3 linked regions of the Macaca mulatta genome follow. The main gene of each other region encodes a partner of the protein of the gene in region 3 in a complex. Links are inferred from orthologs where the notes say so. Each region holds a gene or a part of one and is shown on either strand. Other genes may lie near its edges.

Evidence for each region.
Region 1: the proteins of WDR48 (region 3) and USP46 are in contact, whole or in part, in a crystal structure (PDB 6JLQ), measured with the Homo sapiens proteins. The link is inferred for Macaca mulatta from reciprocal best matches to the Homo sapiens genes WDR48 and USP46. Residues at the interface, in NP_065890.1 of Homo sapiens: Arg50, Trp77, Asp118, Tyr119, Lys121, Leu137, Arg139, Ser170, Tyr172, Thr188, Asp211, Asn212, Lys214, Ser230, Gly254, Trp256, Arg272, Ile364, Leu424, Lys425, Gly521; in NP_073743.2 of Homo sapiens: Arg181, Leu183, Asn184, Cys185, Glu186, Thr187, Cys222, Ser223, Glu224, Lys226, Cys232, Cys233, Ser234, Lys235, Gln236, Glu237, Gln239.
Region 2: the proteins of WDR48 (region 3) and USP12 are in contact, whole or in part, in a crystal structure (PDB 5K1C), measured with the Homo sapiens proteins. The link is inferred for Macaca mulatta from reciprocal best matches to the Homo sapiens genes WDR48 and USP12. Residues at the interface, in NP_065890.1 of Homo sapiens: Arg50, Trp77, Asp118, Tyr119, Lys121, Leu137, Ser170, Tyr172, Thr188, Asp211, Asn212, Lys214, Ser230, Gly254, Trp256, Arg272, Ile363, Ile364, Leu424, Lys425; in NP_872294.2 of Homo sapiens: Arg185, Leu187, Thr188, Cys189, Glu190, Thr191, Ser227, Lys230, Cys236, Arg237, Ser238, Lys239, Gln240, Glu241, His243.

Annotation. Positions count from the first base shown.
Region 1 is NC_133410.1:80,912,456-80,916,101, forward strand, and holds part of USP46 (ubiquitin carboxyl-terminal hydrolase 46), read left to right. Parts: intron 1-1,785; coding exon 1,786-1,864; intron 1,865-2,756; coding exon 2,757-2,858; 3' UTR 2,859-3,646. UniProt on the Homo sapiens protein: Deubiquitinating enzyme that plays a role in behavior, possibly by regulating GABA action. May act by mediating the deubiquitination of GAD1/GAD67.
Region 2 is NC_133422.1:7,255,557-7,259,984, reverse strand, and holds the start of USP12 (ubiquitin carboxyl-terminal hydrolase 12), read left to right. Parts: upstream 1-1,589; 5' UTR 1,590-1,761; coding exon 1,762-1,809; intron 1,810-4,428. UniProt on the Homo sapiens protein: Deubiquitinating enzyme that plays various roles in the regulation of the immune response and inflammation.
Region 3 is NC_133407.1:101,394,088-101,397,733, reverse strand, and holds part of WDR48 (WD repeat-containing protein 48), read right to left. Parts: intron 3,319-3,646; coding exon 3,242-3,318; intron 1,098-3,241; coding exon 905-1,097; intron 332-904; coding exon 236-331; 3' UTR 1-235. UniProt on the Homo sapiens protein: Regulator of deubiquitinating complexes, which acts as a strong activator of USP1, USP12 and USP46. Enhances the USP1-mediated deubiquitination of FANCD2; USP1 being almost inactive by itself.

The sequences.
Region 1 (3,646 bases), on a different chromosome or scaffold from region 3:
CAGAAATCAGTTGGTGCCAAGTCATGCATGCCACTAACTAGGATTCTTCAAACTCCTCCCCACAGAAGTAGCATTGTTCTCCTGTGTGGAGCAGGGTTGGCCTATGCATGTGGATTGGGTGGCTTCCAGGTAGCACTGGAAAGCTTTGAGGTTAGGGAGCTGGGCCTGCCTTCCCTTCCATGCCAGGAAGGCAGGCCCACAGTTGCAACAGGTGCATAGCCTCATGCATTGATTTCTGCTGCAAGTTTTTTTTTAAGCTCATATTTTCTGGGTTCCATGCCAGGATCTGAAGATAGAGTAACGAAAAGACACACAGCACAGGGGCCCTGCCCTCACAAAATTTATAATCTATCTGGAAAGACTGATAATGAACAAGTAAACACACTGCCCTGCTACCTCCAAAAACAAACCATTGCAAGATAATTTGATTTTGATCAGTGCTATCAGGAATAAACAGGGAGATGAGTGAGTGATGGGAAATACCTCTTCAGGTGAGGTGGTCAGCAGAGATTTATCTGGGGAGGTGACATTTGAGCTGAGGGCTAAAAAGAATGCAGTTGGGGGAGGATTATCTCTGGCAGAGTTTACAGCAATGCAAAGGCCCGTAATGTGAAGGGGGTGGCGTGTGAGAGGAGCCCGATGGGCTGGAGCTCAGAGGGAAAGGGAGACAGTAGCTGGAGGAGGCTGGAGAAAGGGCAGGAACAGATCATTGGCATCATCTTGTGTTGAAAGAGGGTAAACAAAGGGGAAAGTTTGGCTTTTTCAACTTTAACAGTGCGTTAAAAAACAGTTTTAGGTTTAGGATTAAAATCTCCTCACTCGTGCAAATCTAACCTAACTACATAGTGACAGCTGCTTAGTTGTCCTTTCTGCTTTTTTCCGTATAGCATAGTATATGGCTTTTTAACACTTGTTACTATGCTTATTGGTTTGTTAATGTCTTTCTAAAACACAGATCATGCAACTCCTCAAAATTCCCATTTCTTCCTGGCTTGCTCGAAGCAAAGCCTAAAATCTTACTTGCGATTCCTACACCTGCCCCTCAGCCCCCTCCGGTCTTCCCCTCCTCGCTCACTCTGCTGCTCTGGCCTCCTTTGGCCTCTCTGCTGTTCCTGAAGACACCAAGTGCTACTCACTCACCCCAGGTGTTTGCACTTGCTATTCCCTATTTCTGAAACTTCCATCCCAGAGTCACATGGCTTCTCCCCATGCCCTGACCCCAACCCCACCCCTACCCCTACCCCTGCCATTTCCTTCAGGGAAATTTCCTTCTGCTCACATTATCAAAGTGGCCTCCCTTCACTTTCCATCAAACATTACCTCCTCCCATCACTCATATCCCATTACCCTGCTTCATCCTTCTCCGTGACACTTCTCACCGCTTGACATACATTTATAACTTTAGTTTGTATATTGCCAATCTGGCCCCTACCCCAAGTCCTAAGTAAGTGAGGTCTTTGTTTTGTTCACTGCTTCTTCCCCTGACAGATAGAATAGGGCCTGGCACAGAATAGGTAGAGAGTAATTTTTTGTTAATATTTACTGAATTTGAGTGTCTGTTTTTGCTGCTGGATTATGAGTCCTCAGAAGACATCTCTTCTGTCCACTTTTGTATTCCCGTGTCCAGCTTAGTGTTGTGAACATAGACATCAGCTGTATTCCAAGTTCTTTATGCTGATGACATAGTTTGTTTCCCAGAGAATCACTGCGTATAAAGAGCTAAGTAGAGTTTTATAAAGAGATAAATGTTAACTTGCTGACTTTCTTTTAATTGTTCTTTTCCAGTGGTCCTAATCGTGGGCATTATATCACTATCGTGAAAAGTCACGGCTTCTGGCTTTTATTTGATGATGACATTGTAGAGGTTGGTTTGCAGATTATTCTCCAGTAGTCATAGAGCATCAATAGTATTTCAGGGAACGTATACGTATAGATGTTTTCTAAAATAGGCCTCTTTCCCCATAATGTAATTTGAAAACAACTTAAATTTCTATTCAAAACCAAATTCTGCGAATCCCCATGCTCCATGGAAAGGGAGAAGGGGTGTGATCACGGACTTACCGACAAGTGTTCTCTACGGTTCAGCCATAGACACGGGGTCTCTCTATCTGTGCCACCGTAAATCATACTTAAGTATAAGTCTTGTTTCTATCATGACTAAAGCCCCCTCTGATACAGGGCAAACAATAGACTTCAAAGTTCTATTAAAATTATTTTATTATAACAAATTTTTCTTGTATCGATTATTGTTTATTTTTTTCAGTCTGTTGGATCTGGAAATCTTTATATTACACCAATACATTCTATGTATTGACTTTGTTATAAAAGAATACTAGCTGGAATGAATTCTACACTCAAAGACATGATCTATTTTAACCCACTAGGGTAGCAGTTTTAGTGGAATAACACTAAAAGTGGAATAACACTAAACTCTGGTGGCCGGAAAGACTTAAGGCTATTTCCAGGACCCATCAGTTTACCATCTGGGAGATGTCTTGTCTTGTTCTTCAATGAGTGCCCACACAGGGTTGCTAATGCATGAAGGCGTTGCCTACTTTCCCAGAGATGTACAATTTCTGTGATGATGTCCTTCAGCCAAGTCTGTGGAATTCTCCATTTGCTATTGAAAGTTCCTAATCATGATTTCATAACAAATTGTCCTCCTTGCATTTTAATATATATTCCATTAGTTTTTATCTCCTTTCCCCAGGAATCATATTATATAATTGTATTGTTTTCTTTCTCCTTTATTGCAGAAAATAGATGCTCAAGCTATTGAAGAATTCTATGGCCTGACATCAGATATATCAAAAAATTCAGAATCTGGATATATTTTATTCTATCAGTCAAGAGAGTAACTTAAAGAACTGTGGAACTGAGTCAAGTGGGGGAAAATGTTCAAAGCACTATTACCTGGTTTCTCTGCAGTCTTTCTTCTTCCCCAGTGGCCCACTAATGGTATCACTCTGAGTCTCAATGGTCTGGCCGAGTTAGACTCTCTCCTTTTGTGTTTTTACATGCAGCACTACTCTTGGTTTTATTTCAGTCTGACGTAGAGTTAACTGCAATCAGATTGTAGTCTGATTTGTATGAATAACAGTTGCTAATTTTAGGACTGGGTGAAAGCTATGCCATTCATTATGTCTGGCTGTATTAGAATGACATTTCCTATGAATGTCTATGGTCTATTTTAGGTGTTTGCTAAACTTCTGTGGCTTCCAGGATCTTCTTACAGTGCATTCCTTTAACTTGTCCCTGGAAGCATTGCTACCCATTTTCAGCTTCTCTGCCTCTTTTCTGATAAAAGGACAGAAGAATTGGGTAGATATTCACCTTTTAGGGGTGCAACTGTAGCTTTAAGTTTGTGCAAGTGAAAATGTTGAAAAGTGAGTAACCTCAATACTAAAATCATCCTTCACATGAAACAGGGTGAAGAGAAGCTGTCCGCGGTGGCTGGTGTTGGCTGGCATTGGCACTAGGCTGTGCTGACCTAGCCATTAGAATTCCAGGGGCTAAGAAGGCTCAGGGCAGGCAAAGCCAAGAGGGGGAAGTTTTTGTGGACAATGAAAAGTTATTTTCGTACATTTCTACCAAAACCCAAGTTTCAGGAAAATAACTCTATGTTGTTTATTTTCAGTGACACTTT
Region 2 (4,428 bases), on a different chromosome or scaffold from region 3:
TGGAATAGAACAGCAAGGGGAAAGGACAGGATGACCACAGCTGTTTGTTTATCAGGATGGGCAGACAGACGGGCATGGGGACACTCGGACAAAGCCCAAGTGGGCCCTAGAGGTCTAAGATGTAGAAACCCTTGTCCAAACAGGGGTTAGAAAAGAGCAAGAAAGACTTCAGGTGGGTGATGCTTGCAAGTCTAGAGAGGGAAGCCCCTGGCTGGGGTATCAGGGCTCTCGGCTTCCATGGAGGCAGGCGCTTGGAGAACCAGGCCGGCTACCATGGGATTTAGCTATATTCAATCTGCATTCTCCCCCCAAGCAAGCTTATAATGGAATCACTATGGAAACAGTATTCATGTACCAGAAGTCTATTTTTCACTTAAATTTTGTTTGAATGCTTTGTTTTTGAGTGCTTTGAACCCGTGAGGTGAGGCACTTCTGATTTTACAGCTCTGCCTGAATTCAGATCCTCAATCCCACTGAATTAGGGGAACCCAGAAAAGTACCCCATCACGAGTTCACCCATCGAAGATGCCACAAGCTTTCTAACATAGTAATTTATGAAGTTATTCTACTCACTTGAGCTACTTTCTCAAATAGGAAAAAATAAAGCTGAGCTGCCAGGCATGAAGAACAGGGTGCAAATATGAATTTTAGAAAAGAAGAAAAGAGGAACTACCCATGCCAGTAGCCAGCACTGCCTAAGGATTTCTCACAGGGCATTCTTCTTGCTTGCGGGCTTCTTGTCTCTGGTAATATCATCATCACTGCTGGCTTGAGATCTTCCCTATTTTGCAGCTCAATGTGCAGATATTTAGAAGCCTGTTATAAATTTACGGCCAACAGGCCAGCAGGATTTGCTCCTCTCCTTCCCCCATTACTTATTTCTTCTTAATTCAAAGAGTTAAACGTGTAATTCGTTCTTTGCCTCTTCATTTTTATTTAATTATTTTGTCTTTTTCTAAGTTGTGTTTGACTCCGGTGATTCATCCAATATACGTAAAAAGAAACAAACCAAGTGCTTGGGTAACCCGGGTTATCTTAACTGTCAGAGCAGGTTTCCTCCCACTCCGCGTGTAGTTACCCAGATCATCGCCTCCGTTTTCTGTTTAGGCAGCGGGGGCTCGCCGTCCCCTCGCCCGCGGTGGGTGTCGCAGCTGGTCCCCTCGAGGTTCTCCCAGGTCGCCGCCGCCTCCCTCGCCCCCGCGCCTCCCCGCCGCGCCCCTTCCTACGCGGGGCCTCTAAGCGCCCGGCTCTAGGACCGCAGGGACGCGGGCAGGAGGCGGTGCCCGCCTTCGGTCCTGCCCTCTGCCGCGCGCGGGGTGGGGCCGGGCCGGAGTTCCCCGCCTCGCGCTCGCCGGCCGCGGAGGGGGCGCCGAGGGGTGGGCGGGGCTGCGCCGCCGGGCCGCGCTGCTGCCTGGCAGGCCGGGCATTAGGGCCTCGGCGGAGCCCGCTCCTCTGCGCGCTGGGCGGGGTGGGCGGCGGGCGGCTTCGCGGGCAGGCGCGGGCCCGGAGGCAGCGGCTGCGTCCTGCGCTGGGGCGGAGCCGGGGGCGGGCCGGCGGCCGGCAGGCGGGGGCTGGGGCCCGAGGCCGGGAGTGCCTGAGCGCCGGCGGCGACGACGGCAGCGGCGGCCCAGCGGGTTCGGTGCGTGGGTCCGCGGCGGCTCGGGGTCCGCCCGCGGGCTGCGGTGCGAGCGGGCGGCCCGGCTCTCCTCCTCCCCCGCCCGCCGCCGCCGCTGTGATTGGGTGGAAGATGGCGCTGGCCGGATGGAAATCCTAATGACAGTCTCCAAATTCGCCTCCATCTGTACCATGGTAGGTGCGGCGAGCGGGCGGCAGGGGCAGCCGGGACCTCTCGGACGGGCGGGCGGCGCTGGAGCCGCCTCTCCCGGTGGCTGCCCGCAGGGCCTAGCGCGGGGGCGGGCGGGCGGCCCGGGCGGGGGCGGTTGGACGGCGAGCAGGCGGGGAGCGCGGGGGTGAGCGGCCCAGGCGGCTGGGGAGGGGGCGCCGCCTGGTGGGCCAGGGCGGCGCGAGGGTGGCGGTGAGGGGGCGACTGTGCCGGACGTGGCGTGGGGCGGGCACCGGCCTCCGGGAGCCCCCGGCTGAACTGCTGGGGTGCGCTTGGGGCGCGGGGCCGAGAGCCGAGACGGGCTGGGCCTGTGGCGGGGCGAGGGGTGGGCGCGCGCGAGTCGGAGCGCGGCCCCGGGCCGGGGTCGCCGGCGAGGGGGCGCGGAGCCGCGCGGGCTGCATTTCCTCCTGGTCGCGCGCCGAGCGGGAGGGGTCCCCGGGCGGGGTGGGGGTCGGCGGGCAGGAAGGAAGGGTCTCGGCCGTGGCGGGCAGCGCTCTTTCCCGCCTGGGAGAGGACGGAAGTCAAGTGCAGATTTCCTCGCGCCGCTGGCTGGGCCGAGTCCCCGACCCCGCGCTGGGGGAAAGGGGCGTGTGTGAAGGTGGAAAGTTTAAATAAGTACTGTTGAAATTCTCTCCATTTTCTCCTCTGAGAGGCACATGCTCTCCCGTTTCCAGCCGTGTGTCCAGGTGGCAGTCTTGTCTCTGGGAATGCACGTTAATCTTGAAAAGCAGCATTAGCTTTCCTGTCATTTATTTACTTCAGCCCACCAGACACATCTGTATGTGGCTGGAGCTAGGTGTGTCTGTGCGGGGACCGCCTGCCAAGGCGACCGTATTTGTTTTCCCAGGGCGTTTAAATAGACTGTAAGGGAAAAGTGCTAATGCCCGCTGGAAGTCCCGAATTAAGCAAAACGTGGGCGCGTTTGAAACTTGGTGTTTTGTGCGTGGCCAGAAGGACCACAGTTTTCCACATGATGAGACAAATTCGTTTCATTAGCTCCTCATGAGCTTATATGTAGGGATCATAATTTATGAGTCATCACCGAAAAAAGTTGTTCTTTGCAACGTGGGCCTAGTGGTTGTTATTAAAGACTTCTGAAATCTTGTGCTTCATGTCTCACTGGTCCTATTTATGCAACTGATTTCATATAGGAGATCCCCAAGCAATTTTCCGTCCAAGGGTTGTACATTGTATATATTTTTCTTTAAGGAGTGGTGAATCAGATCTGAAAGATGCTTTAAAAGCAGATTCTCTCCTGCACGCTGAGGAACAGTACAAAAAATGGCTGAAATCAGGTGGACATAAAATCGACAGTATTAAAGAAATCATACTGAAGGATGAATCATTGAAGACTCCATTTCCCAACTGGATGATTGTTCTTTCTCACAGTTTACATTTTAGGAAAGCACTGGTATTAAATGGACTATGTTAAAATGATTTTCGAGGATTGTTTGGGCTAATTATTTTTAGATATGCCAATTATTAGTCAGTTTCAAAAGGAATGCGATAATTAGGTCTTTTACAGTGACAATTTTGCCAGATTGCTGAGCTACACACATTGTATGGGTCATAGTTCGTTGTCAAAGACTAGGATTTCAGGAGTGGTGTGATACTCTTGACCGACTATTCATTCACTCAAGTACTGTATATCAAGTATACATTTAGCAGCTACTAAGTGCTAGAGGCGGGGCTGAGTGCTGGGGATGCAGTATTGGTCAGGGCAGCCCCTGCTTTCATGGTGTTTACATTCTTGCTCATGGACACAAACAGTATTCAAGTAAACAATAAATGTATGCTGTAATCAGATTAGGACAGTGAGACACAGGGATTTGCCAGGGTCACACACTTAGTAAGTGGGATTCTGATCTCAAGGATGTCAAACTCAGAAGCTCTTTCTAGGGCTTCCACCCAGATACGTTAATTACATGTGGGGTGTGTGTGTATTGTTGGCAAATAGTGCCTGGCCAAATGAGATTGTTCCAAAGGTACTATTAAAATTCGGTGTGTCCGTATTCATATTTGAATACATTCGAATGCACCCCCAAACAGTGCTAAATATCTCAGTAGTTTGCAGTCTTATTCTTTAAAGAAAATTGCCATCTGTCCTCTAGAATCACAAAATTGAAAAGCAGAGATACCTCTTTGGCTTTGTAGGTGGTTTTGCTAGGCTTGGAACGCTCCTCCCCGCCACACCCCTTTTCCTTCTCGTCTGGAGAGTGTGTGTAGCTGTCTGTTAAGCAGGGAGCCTCCTTACTTCAATAATCCTACCCCTGTCCAACCCCACCCTCCATCCCCTTCCTACAGTTGAATGGCATTTTTGTAATCTCAGTAGCACCTTATGCTTACTGTGTAGTAAAATTTTCTTTGAACTCTTAATTATGAGGGCCTTGAAGGGGAAGGATTATCATTTACTTCTGCAGTTTGATCTGGAGTACCAAGTTCTGCATTCAGTATAAAAGTTTTCCAGAGTCCTTCCTGTCTGCTCCCGCTATGCCGGGTGAAGCAGGGATGATACGGCTGTGTGTGTATGGAATGTGGAGAGAAGATGGGCTGGACTTAAACAGAATACTTCTCAGAGTCAGCAG
Region 3 (3,646 bases):
TTGGGGTTCTTCTGCTCTTGCATTCTGCTTCCCTGGGGACAGCTTAATCTACACATGGAGACTGGTTTCTATATTACATCTCGATTAGTCACTTCAATTGAAAGATAATCTCGGTCCATACCAAATCGGCCATTAGAAGTCTTGCTCCCGTTGGGGCTCAGTGGGCTTCCTAGGACTACTCTTGGGGCCATAGAGGAAGGTCGTAAATGAATACCCAGAAGCATTAGCCCACCCTTCACGTGGACTTCTGACGGTAATGGAGGGTTAGGTCTCCACCGCTCTTCCATATGAAGTGTTTCACTGTTCGAAGGTCCATATTTGGATCCAAAACCTGAATAGCCAAAATTAAGTTTAAAAATTTCAAAGTCTCTAATATCTAAAACCTTTATCATTAACTCAGGGACTCCAGCTTGCTCACTCCTCCCCTATGCCTGATATCCAATTCTTGCTGTCACGGCTTCCATGCATGTGGGAATGAAATTGAGCTTAGTGAGATGTACATCTTTTGTGATTATACCAGAAACACCAGGCCATCTTTCAGCCATTCGTCTAAGGATATGTTTTGAGTGCATCTTGATTTAAAAAACCATTCTGCCATTTCTCCGCACACCTTCACTCTAAATCATAAACTAACATGGCACATGCTGCTTTGCAAATCAAGAAGACCATGTGTCTTTTTCTTGTCAGAAAAAAAAGCTACCAGCACATCCACATTTGTCTATGTATCCCTTCTCTGAAAATCTCCCCAGCAGTAAAGAGGAGCTTTAGGGTGGGCTTTAGGTGGGAGAGGCCCAGGGCTCCTTAGAGCCCCTCTAAAAGTAGAAGCCCCCCGCCCAAAGGCATGTAACTCTTGATAAGCACCAGCACTGGAAAAACTGGGGCTGCAGTCCTCAAGTCCACTTACCTGGTCCTGGCACAAAAGTTCAATTTTCTCCTCTGCCAACACAGCAATATCCTCTTCTTTTTCCTGTTCTCCTGGTTTTTCATTATTAGAAGAGCTAGTGGTTTGAGACTCATTATCCAAGTTGATAATTTTTTCATAAACATGTTCCATAACTTTTCGGACTTGGAGCATGTCACTAGCAGAGAGTCTGTCTCTGTAAAGAAGCAGTGGCATATTGTGACATCAGGGAAATCACTAGATATTATTTATTCCATATTATTTTTCTTTGATGCGAACATTTTATAAAGATGAAAAATCAATAAATGTTTTTAGTCATTACCTTAATCCATTTTTAGAGCTGCCGAAAGATTTTCTACAGTGTCCTTCTAAGACATAAGTTTATGTACAACTAAATGAGATTAATACATGTTCTTAAAACTTACATATACAGGCCAGGTGTGGTGGCTCATGCCTATAATCCCAGCACTTTGGGAGGCCAAGGCAGGTGAATCACTTCAGATCAGGAGTTCAAGACCAGCCTGGCTAACCAACATGGTGAAACCCTGTCTCTACTAAAATACAAAAAATTAGCTGGGCATGGTGGTGCACGCCTGTAATTCCAGCTACTCAGGAGGCAGAGGCTGCAGTGAGCCAAGATCATGCCACTGCACTCTAGCCTGGGCAACAGAGTGAGACTCCATCTCAGAAAAACAAACAAACAAACAAAAACACTTACATATATATACATAGTAGCCTTCTGGGTTTTATTCCCTTGAATACTTTCCCAGAGCCTGGGCAAACTAAATAATAATTCTGGAAAGGCAGGCAGCTCCCAATGCTTACCAGAGTCCTACACTGCTCAGTTTTCCCTGGGCTTTCCTCCCCACTGCCATGCCTTCAACTAGCACCTGTGGGTAGACAATGCCTGAGTCTAGACCTTGAGTCTCAAACTTCTGTCGTAAACCACAAACCCAACAGCTGGTTGGGTATCTTCAGTTGGATGTCCTACAGGCACTTCAAACTCTCTATGTCCCAAACTAGACTCACCAACACCCTACTTCTGTATCTCTGATAACAGTCAATAACTATTACACCAAAAAACTAAGGCTTACGCTCTGAAAACCATTTGAACTGCAGTTGTTAAATCTATCTAAGACTCACTTTAAAATAATTGTGTGTGTGTCTGTGCGGTGTGTGGAGGGAGGTGGGTGGGAGGGCAGGTAGAGGTACAGGTGAAGCAAAATGTTTAGCAAGGTATTGATAATTACTGAAGCTATCTGATTGGACAATGGGGAGCTCTTTCTATATAAGTTTGGAAATCTCTGTAACAAAGAGGCTTACAAATTTTTTTGATTTTATTTGCTAGAATATACATATTGTTCATAGTTTAGCATTCCATCACTACAGTACTAAAATTCTTCTCTTGGGTCTCCCTGGACCATATCCCACATTGGCTCAAAAGTTTCTGGTGTTTAGTCACTGCACGCTCTATGGCTTGGCATTCAAATCCAACATCAACAAAACCTTTAACAGCCTTTCCAATTTACTTCCTAATATCTTCCTGCTGTGCCTCCATCCCATGCTGCAGATGCATGGGTCCTCACACTACTTTCCACTATCTTATGCATGCTCCCACTTCCATATCCCTGATCACACTGTGTCCTGGACTTGGAATATCTATCTTTTGAAGTTCTACCAATCATTACATGTCCAACTCAAATTCCATGTCCTTCAAGAAGCCTTTCTGGGAAGCTCCAGCCACAAGCTCATTTCTTTCTCCCACTCTCATTATTCCTTAAGTATCCATAAAAGCAACTATTATATACAGGTTGGGTCCTAAACTGTGAATTAAGGCAACAGACAAAATGCATGTTTTATTTATCATTTTTTTCTTAGAGACAAGGTCTCTCTCTGCTGCCCAAGCTGGAGTGCAGTAGCATGATCTTAGCTCACTGCAGCCTCAAACTTCTGACGATCCTCCTGCCTTAGCTTCCTGGCTAGCTTGGACTACAAGTGTGTGCTACCATGCCCAGCTAATTTTTTTACTTGTATCTTTTGTAGTGAGGGGGGTCTCACTATGTTGCTCAGGCTGGTCTCAAACTCCTGGCCTCAATTAATCCTCCCACCTCACCCTCCCAAAGTGCTGGGATTATGGGTATCAGCCACTGTGCCTGGCCTTATTTATTTCTGAACACCTGTAGTCGGCCAAAGTTGGTACCTGGTAAGTGGTTTAATTGTATAAACTATGAATATTATAAAATCAGCCTTAGATCTGGTATATGCTTCCTTTGCTATAAAAGGAAGGAAAAGGAATTCTCTCAGTAGTTAATTAGATCAATAAAGCATATATTTACTTACTTTTTTAAGGTTTTTGCTCCTGAAGATGCATGAGGTTGGAGGTAGAAAGGAATTTTGTTGAATTTGGGCATATTTTTCTGAAACAGTAAAAGTTAAAAAAGGTATAATAGTTTCTATTAGTTGATAAATGAAAATAATGTTAATAGGAAAACATGACTTGCGAGTAATAATTATCTTACAATTAAAAGTGACTTTCTATGAAATGTATAGTGAGCTATCAAATTACCTAAGTCAGCCTTTGAGAAAATTCATCAGAAAAATATATGTGACATTAGTGGCAATATGAAATTGTAGCATGGCTCTTCTTAGATAACAGTACAAGGTATTAAAGAGAAACAAACTTTATTTTAATTTTTTAAGCCATACAAACCAAAATCTCAATTCTACATTAAAATATTGGGGCTG